Drosophila melanogaster: one gene and its partner. The protein of the gene in region 1 interacts with the protein of each later gene in a biochemical or structural test. Each region holds a gene or a part of one and is shown on either strand. Other genes may lie near its edges. The genes, in order: endos and gwl.

Region 1 (4,661 bases):
GATGCGGTGCTTATCGCGTAGCACATAACAAATGCAATTTGGAACCGAAAAATTGCATTTAAAGATCACTTTTTCTCTTTTATCACCGCTGCGCCTTCCGCCTAGAGTTGGTACAAAACACTGTTTATGCGATACTATCGATAGTTCCAGAAGTGTGGCAATATGGATGCTTAATCTGCTGGTATCGATTGGTGGAAAACTTGGATATTTGATTGATTTCATTTGTACTGTGGTCCAAAAAGCGATTTTATTGGTTAAAACTTTTTTAATTGGGCCTAAAACTCACTTTGCAAGTTCGATTAACTTTTAACTAAAACACGATGTTCGTATGAAAATATATGAACCCATCTATTTGTATTAAATATTGTGTATTTCCCACCTATTTTGGTGATTTCATTTCGTTCCCGTCCAATTTGAACAACCAATTACCATACCACACCGCTCGAAGGAACGTTTCCTAGTTAATTAGACTCCACTCCGGGCACTTATAATTTAAGTAAACATTTGTATGGCACATTTCCGATTCAGTTGTTGGGTTAGCGCCCCAGGAAATCAACACATTTATAAGTATACGTACATACATTTATTTTAGCTCTGCTTGATTTACAAATTCATTTTAACTCGACTGTTTGGTTTTTGCATCAAAAATTTAGCTCTGCAAGCAGCAGTACCTATGTTATTATCAATTAGTTGGTGAAATTCCGTCAACTGCTTATAGAATGAATGCAAAAAAAAAAATATAAAAACATTTTCCATAGAACATGGTGAACTTTTAAAAACTTTTGATGGAATCCCAGTAATGTACGAGAACGTGTGTGTGTGTGTGGCTGGCTGCTCCAACTTAAATTTATTATGCTCGTAATACTTACAACTATGTACGACGAGGGTAAGTTAGTTTAATGTTACAAAGATAGAGATATATATAACTGTTGCAATAAATTTCGCGCTGCTCGGCTCGCCATCTTCGCTTCCCCGGCCTGAGAGATGGACTGATGAGTTGATCTTGAGATTGATTGGCCAGTGCGGATGGCGATTGAATTTAACGGGGGAAACACGGAACATGGTGCTAGAATTTCAGTTTAAACTGTCGCGAAATGCCCGCACAATCCGGCAGCAGCCATCTTAGCATTAGGTTTTTCATTAAAATTAGGTATAGAGCATTTGAAGTGGGGAACGGAGAACTGGCTGCACTTGAGGTTGTGGATACAGTAGAGGTGAGTGTTGAGTGGTGAGTAAATTAGCTCGTCGCCGGGAACTTGTTACAGGGTTGGATGATCGAAGTCTTGCGCGCCGGCACGGTTTCGGGCGTGGGAATGGCCTCCCCGGTGGTCACCTTGTTGGCAAAGACCTGCTTGACGCCGCCACCCTTCTGCTTGGCCATCTGGTAATCGCCCGAGTCGAAGAACTTTTGCTGTGGGAAGGATATGAAGGAATACATATTAGATTTCTCTTATATAATCAAATAGCTTTTTAGAACTAAAACGGAGATATCTTCCAAATGCAAACTTAATGTAACAATCTGATTTCGTTTACCAGATCATCAAGTTGATATAAACTATGCGCTGTGATTATTGAGTTTCATTGATTTCAGAAAGCAATTGCCAAATAGTATGGATCTTAGAATAGAGGAAACATGAATTGTTATTTTCCTTTAAACAACGGGTACTAAATACTACTAAATAATATTATTATTATTATTTTTAATTGATATTCATATTACAGGGTTTGGGTATCCCCGAACACCGAAAGTTAGTAAACTTATTGTTTGATTGTTTTCGAATTGTGCTAATCACTTACCCCCTTCTGCAGCCTTTTCTGGAGGAAGGCCGAGTGTCCGCCCGGCACGCGCATTCCGCTGGGATACTTGGACTTGAGTTTCTCCTCCTCGATCTTCTCGAGATCCGTGAGGTTAGCCTGCTCGGTGGTCTCGGTGTCCTGGGGCGTGGTGGCCGGGCTGTTGCTGTTTTCTTCCGCGGAGCTCATTGTGTGCTGCCTACGGGTGATAGTACTGGGATTAGCCAAGGTGCGACAATGGCGACACGGGAGAACTTAAATGGCAAAAGGAGGGGGAGGCGGCGGAATTGCAGAGGGGCAGCGAAAATCGGAGGCGCGCAAAATGCCAAGAGAAAATTGCATTTCATTACACACACACACAGACACAAACGCGCTAGGCTCGCACAAACACTGGCACGTAAATCCAGGGCAGGCGCACGCACACTTGCTAATATATGTGGACGCGAAATATTATAGTAATAATCGGATGTGCAAATATTGTTTTAATTTTTTATATACACCAACCACTACGCAGGCGATAAGGCTTGTGTGTGCGTGCGTTTGCTCGTCGATGCGGTTGTTTGTGTGCAAGGCGTAGTTGCTCACCTTTTGCCTGTAAAATTTGACGATTAACTGTTGTTTTCCTTCTCCTTTTGTTCTTCACCCGTCTATCAGTGTGTCTCCTTCCCTGGAATCGAATCGGTTTTGCCAATTAGCGTGCCGACTTAGCGGAGAGTGCTGCTATTCGCTAACGATTCCGGCAAATGATGTGCTGTTCGACTAAATCAGGCTGTTACACGAGCTATGTATTTGGTGTGTGGAGAGTGACTGAAATTCCCAAGGCGACTCAATTGTAAAATTATTTTATCACTTTACAGACGCAAGACTGTCTTCGATAGCAGAAGGCGTTATTTCGGAACATATCGTTTATCGAAACTACAGTTGCTCAATACTGAACTGTCCAGCTTCGAGTAGCTGTGGCTCAAACCATTGTTGTCATCGATAAGCAATTGCAATTTTATTTGTTTGCTTAAAAAATTAAAATATAAACTACGAGGATCAAATAAACATACATATTCCCAATATGTTAGCGAAAAAATATGCTCAAAAAAAGATGTTTAAACACAATGTAAGCTGTTCTATGCATTGAACAAATTAACACATTGAGAGGGCGCTCTTATAAGTGCACATTTCAATTTAAATTTATTTTAATATATTCAAATATAGTATAGCAGTATAGCATTCAAATGTAACTGTTGGTTGGACTATCGCTGTAGTCCAAGAACTGCAGATAGTGTCATCGCTAGCTTTGAAGCATCTCAAAGGAAAAAGAGCGATAATTCTGATAAGAAAGTTGGCGTAGCCGGAAGGCGGATTGTCACATACAAAATAGTTTGGAAAGCCCAAACTGAGGCGAACCAATCACACAACAATCCACGCCCACAATGACCGCCCTGCGATACATGGGATGGATCACCGGCTGTTCCGTCCTAACGGCCTTTGTTTCCATAATTTGGCAGGCATTCATCGCCCTGCAGACGCTTAACAGGACGACTGTCCTGCTCACCGGTCTCCTGGCAATCGAGGGGTGAGTTCATTCGGCTACACTGCAGCACTAGCTATATATGCATTTGTATTTCAGATCCCTGAAGCGGACCGCGTTGGAACCGGCACCCAAGGTGGCCATCGGCTACGGAGCCTGCACGGACTTGCAGATAAACGCCACTGAATTTCTGGATCGCTACTATGGGCGCCGGATTCCAGTCGCAGCAGCCACTACAGGATCTCGGGCGGTCGTGAACAACGAGGACGAGCTCTTGCAGTCCTTTGCCTATTACTTTCAGAACGGCGCTGCAGCGGAGTAAGTTGCATGGAAGGATCTTGGATATCCAATATTTTATTGGCTATGCAAGTTACTAACAAAGTATTTCATACTGGTCCACTTTTCAGGCGAGTGATGGCAAACAGTACCCTCTTCACACAGCTGGTGGGCTACGCCAAGGTGATGGACAAGGAGAGGATCAATTGGTACATGGGTGGTAACGCCCCACTGATGGCCGTGCGCTTTTTTATGGAGGGAGCTCAAGTGCTACTGGGCGCCCACATGTCTAGAAAGTAATTACCTATCTGAATAACAAATTATTTCATGGAACTTAATGTAAAAACTTCTTCAGGCTGCGGCCACTGCTGCCAAAGGAGATTCGTCTGGCTGGTGACGAGATTCCAAACGATGACATCCATCTTATTCTGGAGTACAAGGCTGGTGACAAATGGGGCCCATATGTGGCACCTCGCGCCAATCGCTACATTCTGCACAACGATCGAAATAATCCGCATCTGCGGGCCGTGGAGCAGTTGACGGATGCTTTGAAGATGTATCAGCCACAGCTGTTGGTTGTCAGCGGGCTGCAAATGATGGACATGTTCACCTTTAAGTCTGGTGAGCGAGAGGCGCGCCTGCAGCAAGTACAAAGGCAACTAACCAGCCAGCCGCAGGGCACTCTGAACCACTTCGAGATGGCTTCTTACGTGGAGTTGCAGCTGCTTCAACAGCTTCGACACTTTGTACTGCCCTACGTAGACTCCCTGGGAATGAACGAACAAGAGCTCTCTAACCTGCAGCAGGTTCTTGCTCACGGACGGACGACCTTAGCCACCGACTGGAATCCGCGCATAGCTCACACCCTTGACCAGATGCGGCAGGTTTTCATTAGTCTCCTTGAAGATTACGAAGACCGAAGCTCAAGCGATGCCAAGCGTCGCTCTATCTCGCGCATACATGTGCACACGTTGGCCTATCAGGCGATCCTTACCACAGCGGGCTCCAAGTGGAAAAACACACGTGCTGCCGCTGCAAAGGCAGCGCTCACTGCTCACCGATACGTCTG
Region 2 (6,713 bases), on another chromosome or scaffold:
ATCGCGGAACGGGTCGTTGGACGATTTCCCGCTCCGCCGTCTGTGACAGATCGTACAGCCGGTCAGCTTCCGCCTGCAGCCGCTGGCTTAGATCCTTATTAGCCGTCACAAGGCACACCTGTGTCTCCAGATCGCGGTTCACCGATCGCTCGCCAAAGTTCGAAGAGCCGATCAGCGTGAGGTTTGGCAGTATTGCCTCTGGCAGGTAGTACCACAGTCCTTTAGCATGGTACGTCCAGCCGGGCTTTTCGTACTCGAAGAAGTTAACGCGGTGGTTTTGCTTCCGGCGGACCAGGCTCTCGTAGAAACTCTTGGCTATCAGTGTGTAGGCAGCCGGAATTCCGCCCGCTGGTCCTTTGGCACCCTGAAAGCCGTTTGCCTGGAAAATGAATTAAATCGGGTTACTATTGGTCAACTAATTACTGATAGCCACTCACATTTGGATGAGCCATCAGTATGCTGCATTGGGCCAGGCACTTGTGCGTGAGCGTGTCCATGTACTCCTGCGTCAGGTTGAAGTACCCGGTGGCCAGTTTCAGCCGTGATCCAGACAAGCAGTTGGAGAGCAGCCGCTTGGTCACCACGCTGTCGTGATGAATGCCGATCTGGCCCATCTCAAGCAGCGGAAAAATCCATGTGTCTGCCTGCGGATTCTGCTCTTTAGTTCGCGCCTGCCGCTGAAACGTCTCCTGCACTAAATCGGAAATACGTTTACGGGCAAGCTGGATAAACTGCTCCTTGGTGCCCTCGTACGGCAGTATTCGCCAGTTGCGGTGCAGTCCCTCGCTGGCATCTGGCGCCACTGCCAAACTAAACTCTTGAACGCGTTCGATGAACTGCGCATAGAAATCCGCCAACGGTTTGTCCTCAATGAGTATGTATCGATCCTGCCGGTTGGTGAAGTAGTCATTGGACAGATTGGCGCCTGATATGATCACGGCATCGTCGAACAGGTAGACCTTCATGTGCTGTAGTCCGAGAAGCTCATTCCACCGTGGCGGTGCTAGTCGCTTTGTCATCCCGCGCAGATCAGGCGTATGGTACAGGGATAGCTGCACCTGGCTCGCAAAGTCGCGGACCAGGGGTAGCAACATGGTCTTGGAGTTGAGGGTTCCCCGCGTGCCGCGTGTAAAGTCCAACAGCACGTTGAGCCTCAGGGCAGACTGTTGCTCCAGGCTGTGACGCAACGTCTGAACCATTGCGTTCTCCAGTTGCCCAGTGCCCAGGTACAAACTGGCCAGCACTATACGGCGTTTGGCCTGACCGATTCGTTGCACCAGCGTTTCGTAGAAGTGCTTTGGCTCGTGGATGACCTGAATTTGATCGCCTCGCAGCGGGAAGCACGGCGCTAGGTTGTGTAACCAACTTAGGCTCTCCAGTGCGGGTGCTCCAGGGAATCCGGTGGCCAGGACACTGGGCGCCTGCTGCAAGCAGCCCAGAAAATCGCCCTGAGCAGCCGGAGAGAGCTCCTGGCTGAAAAGGCGGCGAAGGTATGGCATCATCTTGGCGGGGATTTCTCTGACGGATTGGCAAGCGGATCCTCACTCTGGGCGGCTGCTATTTGATGACAGGGTATGGCGCATTGCTCACTGTCTGTTTGGCTGTATCCGGAACACACTTTCATTCATGGAGTGCTGTTTTATCACAAAAAAAACTTCGAATTTCAGCACGTAAATAAATTCCAGGTGGAACGCAAGTGTTGCAAAGCGAGCTGGGATTCGATAACAATTTATAGCTATCGGGAATTATCGACTGTTCATAATGGTGATGGTGATATGGTGATCCTGCTATGTGTTTCTTAAAAAAAAATAATATTTAAATCAAATTAATAAAAGCCTAACCATTTATCAATAGTTACTAACTGTTACATTTTTAACATTTTTGTGTATATCTACTTTTATATATATGCATAAAGAAATATTTGAATAAATTTACTTGAAATATTCAACCGGTATCTTACTAATATGCATTTCTTTTTGGTAATATTTAATTTTAGTTTAAAAAATCGTTTAATTTTAAACTGCAATAACATCGATGTTGTCAAATTTCTAGAAACATCGATAATACTAAGAATCGAATTAGTTTCACCTCTAGTTCAGGTCATAGAAAATAGACGCGCTGTTTTAAATGTGTGTTTGAAATAAAAATTGTGCAATAAACAAGCTAATAGCATTCAGGTCTATATCGAATTCTATACATTGTATATCTCTGTACGATAATTGTATATATTGTGCGAAACCGCGAGAAAATCGCACTCTGACCGTCGGAAACCTGGAAGATATGGAAAACGCCGATGCGACTTCGCAATCGGATGTCCACATCGACTACAAAACCCCCAAGAAGACCCACTCGCTGATCGACAGTGAGCAGTTGCTGGACAAGATCAACATCCTTACCACCAAGCCGGAGAATCACTCCCAGAATGCCAAGGTACGCGGAGGAATCGCAAACTGGCGATTACCACACGTGGGTGGTTTACAGTTAGCCACGGTTGCTAATCAAGAAAATTTGAAATGCCTCTAAACACAGTGTTTATGTAAATTGATTAAAAAAGGGCAGTACATGTTCAAGAATTAATGAAAAGGTTATGTTTATGTATTATAGGAAAAACGAAAAACATATGTACGTTCAAATGTGATGTTATATAGGATTTCCATTTCAAAAACATTTTTACAGTTCTATTTATCTTCTGTTTTTTTTACATAGCTCCTTTCTTCATTTCCTTTTACTGGCTATTGATGTACATATATCTTCTTTTATCCAATTATATATATACACATATGCTTTTTTAAGATTTTTTATTTTTTATATCTAGAACTGAAGTTTTTCTATGTCTAACTTTAGCTATATTATTTTCCTTTGTTCTGCCTTGGGCTATAAGAATTACCACCACCACTTAGGTCACTTTATTATATAGTAATGGATACATTCGCTTTCTTATACAGCTTCCCACTATCAAGGATTTTGTCATCATTAAGCCAATCAGCCGCGGCGCCTTTGGAAAAGTCTTCCTGGGCTACAAGAACAACGACTCGAAGCGGCTGTTCGCCATCAAGGTGATGCGCAAGTCAGAGATGATCAACAAGAACATGGTGTCCCAGGTAATCACGGAGCGGAATGCCCTGGCCCTCTCCCGCTCTCAGTTCTGTGTCAGTCTCTTCTACTCCCTGCAATCGCTCTCCTACGTCTACCTGGTGATGGAGTACATGGTGGGCGGGGATCTCAAGTCACTGCTGGCCATGTTTGGGTATTTTGACGAGCCCACGGCCCGGTTCTACGTGGCCGAGATGGTGATGGCGCTGCAGTATCTGCATCAGCACGGAATTGTCCACAGAGATATTAAACCGGACAACATGTTGCTCTCCTCCAGTGGCCATGTGAAGCTTACTGATTTTGGGTTGAGCAAAATCGATATGCGAAGAGATCTGGAAATATCAGACCTTATAAACTGCTCACCGAATTTAAACGCCCGCACGCCGGGCCAGCTTTTGTCGCTTACTTCGCACCTGTCTTTTGGGTCAGAGAAGAAACTGAATGACTTCGGTTCTGTTTCAAGTGGACAAAACAACGGAATGGGCTCGGTGGCCACGGGGACATCCCACTTGCTGCAGGCCATCAACAAGCATAGTCTGATAATGGAGCTGTCGGATAGCGAGGGCGACACCTCGCTCAATGATGCAGAGAAGACGAGCGATAGCAAGATATCTGGTGTTTCCCCCTTCTTTTCTGCCGAGGAGGCCAATGAATCCATTACTCATACCTGCACTACAAACGTAAATGTGGGTAAACATATTGCAATTAAAATGGATTTATTCATCTATCATTCTCCGAATCTTCAGCCCCAGGATAGCAGCTCGTCTTGTTCGTTCCACACTTGTAACTCGGCCGACCTGAGCAAGTGCTCACCACCACTGGAGTCAAAGGACGGTGCTGCTGCGGGCAATGCGATCCCCAGCAAGCGGCGCGTGGAATTCGTCTTGGATGCGGCACCCTGTCAGGTAAGTGGCTGGAAATCGGCCAAACCCGTAATCTCTGTATTTATTTGCATAAATGGTTGATTCTCTGAAAGGGCTGCAAGCTGGCCGAGCAAGACAGCAGCAACATGGCCACCAATGATGGCAAACATTTGCCCAAGATAGATAACGCAATCGAGGCTTCGTTTGAGTTTTCCATGGTGCGCAGGCGATCGGTCGACGAGGTGCGTTGGCATGTGCATGTGTGTGTGTCTGTCCATTGTGCGGTTTCCCTTTCTGTATTAAAATACTAGTATTTTATAACTAACTTTACAACTAACCAACATTAAATAGGTTAAAAGATATGTATACCACATATGTAGGTAGTTCAGTTAATAACTACCTCTACTGTTCCCTTTAGCGAAATCGCATCTCAAAGGGGCCGGAGGATTCAGGGGTGTCCAGTCGCAAGGGCGACGACTATTCCAGCTGCCACTTGAATCTGAATAGCGAGAGCACGGCTTCGTCGATTGAGAAGAATGTGGACAACCTAAGCCAATCCAAGGAGGATTTTAGCTGTTCAGATTACTCGCGCAGTTATAACGTGACCAACGGCAACGAGATGAGTGGCATCAACATGAACTCGCCGTTTCGGAATCTGTCCAAGCACTTTAAACGCCCCGACTTCCTGCGCGGCATGAAGCGAAAGATCAATTTGGTCAATCGCTCCGACAACATGTCCAGCATGGATACCGATGGCTGCAGTTCAAGCAATGGAAGTACCAACACCGGACTAACACAGGAAATTGAAATCCTTAATATTGGCAGCAGCACGCCCAAGAAGCGCAAGGCCCGTTCCTCGCCCATCCGTGGTGTGCTAAAGGTGCGCTCTTTATCCGATGACGAAATGCCCATAAATCATTTGCTTGGTCCGGAAGCAAATGTGGCCAACGTGGTCTTCTCTACGCCCGTATCTTCACAGAAGTTGCCACGTCGGGATGGTGGTCTTCTTGGAAAGCTCAAGGCCACTCGGTTCGCTCTTCCGCTGTCCATTGAGAACAAGAAACGGGAGCATGCGACCGCCGATAAGATGTCAGGCATTCAGTACCATCTGAAACTGTCCGACGATCCCACGATGTCGCCTATCAATCATGGAGCCGGCAATCTACCAAAGACGCCGAAAAACGTTAACATCAATACCCCGTTCCGCACACCGAAATCAGTGCGTCGCGGGGCTCGCGTGTCTAATGAGCGCATCTTGGGCACACCTGATTATCTGGCGCCGGAGTTACTGCTGAAGCAAGGTCACGGTCCGGCCGTCGACTGGTGGGCTCTGGGCGTCTGTTTCTACGAGTTCATGACCGGCATTCCACCCTTTAACGACGAGACACCTCAGAAAGTATTTGACAACATTCTGAATAAGAGTGAGTTTTGTTATTTCAAGAGTTTTCTTGCAAATATTATACCTATATTTTTGTTACCAATTCCTCACAGACATCGAATGGCCAGAAGGTGATGAGGCATTATCCGTCGAATCCATGGAGGCTGTGGAACTGCTCCTGACCATGGATCCCAATGAGCGACCGGCCGCAAAGGAAGTGCAACAAATGCGTCACTTTGCTTGCATCGACTGGGAGAATATAGGCAATACCGAGCCCCCATTTGTCCCGACACCAGACAATCCCACTGATACGGGATATTTCGATGCGCGCAACAATCTTCAGCACCTGCAGCTGTCCAATTTTGCCCTAGAAGAATGATTGCCAAGCGGAGCCCGGCTGCCTCCGTGTCAGCGTGCTCGTACCGAGCACTGTATTATCGTTATTTATATTTTCATGTAGCAATACCTAAGAGTAGACCCTTAATGTTCATCTGTTATCGTTCGTGTAGCCCTACGTATTTATATTTTGTTTAAAGTTCATTCAAGTGTATCATTATATTTTCGTGTACATTTAGTGGATTATTACTGTCATGATTGTCGATGATCATGGTCAGTGAAGAGTTTATATACAGGTACTGATGTCGATTTTGTTATTGTAACTACGCTTAAACAAATAGCTTCAAGTATGCACTTTCGAGACATGTATATCAAATAAAGTTATAGTCTACAAGATTTAAAACAAAGTTTCAGTGTTTGGCCCCATGTTTGTATTATGCTAAAAAGTATGTATAAATAAATGTTCACTTTTATACATTTTATGCAATTTTGAAAATTGCTTAAAATTTATCACTTTATTTAACCTATACCTAGTTAGATGATATATAACACCTGGAAAATAACACAACTGGCTGTTAGGATGTTTAGAATATTTCACTTGGTCGGTAAGCTACGTGGCCATTAACTTGAATTCAAAGTCCCAGACCTCTGGAATGGTTGTCAGGTAGCTCTCCTCGTAGAAGATGCTGATGAGTCGGCAGACCATATGAGGTACGGCCCGGATATCGGGAAATGTGGATTCCTTGAGCAGGCTAACGGCCCGAACGATCAAGGGCTTGATGTCGGTGAACTTCTTGTTGGCCAGCAGCATAGACAGCTCCCGGAGCGCACTTTCGTACTCTTCTGACGGTATGCGAAGGTCCCGATTGGCCGGAAACAGCGAAAAGATCACACAAGCCAAGCAACGAGTTAACACCTTTCGTCTGAAATGTAAACCACGCGTATTTTCTTTGTTCAATCTTCATAAATCGGAAAAACGAACCTGTTGGTTATAACCTCCGATTTGAGACCAATCACTCCCAACAGACCATCGCCCCAGCCTT

What was found.
Region 2: of the proteins of endos (region 1) and gwl, one has a biochemical effect on the other in vitro, tested with the Drosophila melanogaster proteins (2 studies listed by BioGRID).

Annotation. Positions count from the first base shown.
Region 1 is NT_037436.4:14,029,010-14,033,670, forward strand, and holds endos (endosulfine), read right to left. Parts: upstream 2,698-4,661; 5' UTR 2,380-2,697; exon of another isoform or gene 2,299-2,379; intron 2,222-2,298; exon of another isoform or gene 1,994-2,221; 5' UTR 1,984-1,993; coding exon 1,798-1,983; intron 1,412-1,797; coding exon 1,238-1,411; 3' UTR 570-1,237; downstream 1-569. Other genes in the region: CG6650 (uncharacterized protein), read left to right, coding at 3,219-3,361, 3,416-3,634, 3,724-3,888, 3,948-4,661.
Region 2 is NT_033777.3:18,744,292-18,751,004, forward strand, and holds gwl (greatwall), read left to right. Parts: upstream 1-2,078; 5' UTR 2,079-2,280; coding exon 2,281-2,430; intron 2,431-2,945; coding exon 2,946-3,779; intron 3,780-3,839; coding exon 3,840-3,998; intron 3,999-4,069; coding exon 4,070-4,198; intron 4,199-4,374; coding exon 4,375-5,377; intron 5,378-5,447; coding exon 5,448-5,713; 3' UTR 5,714-6,069; downstream 6,070-6,713. Other genes in the region: PGS1 (phosphatidylglycerophosphate synthase 1), read right to left, coding at 1-379, 438-1,502; Epg5 (ectopic P-granules autophagy protein 5), read right to left, coding at 6,281-6,593, 6,653-6,713.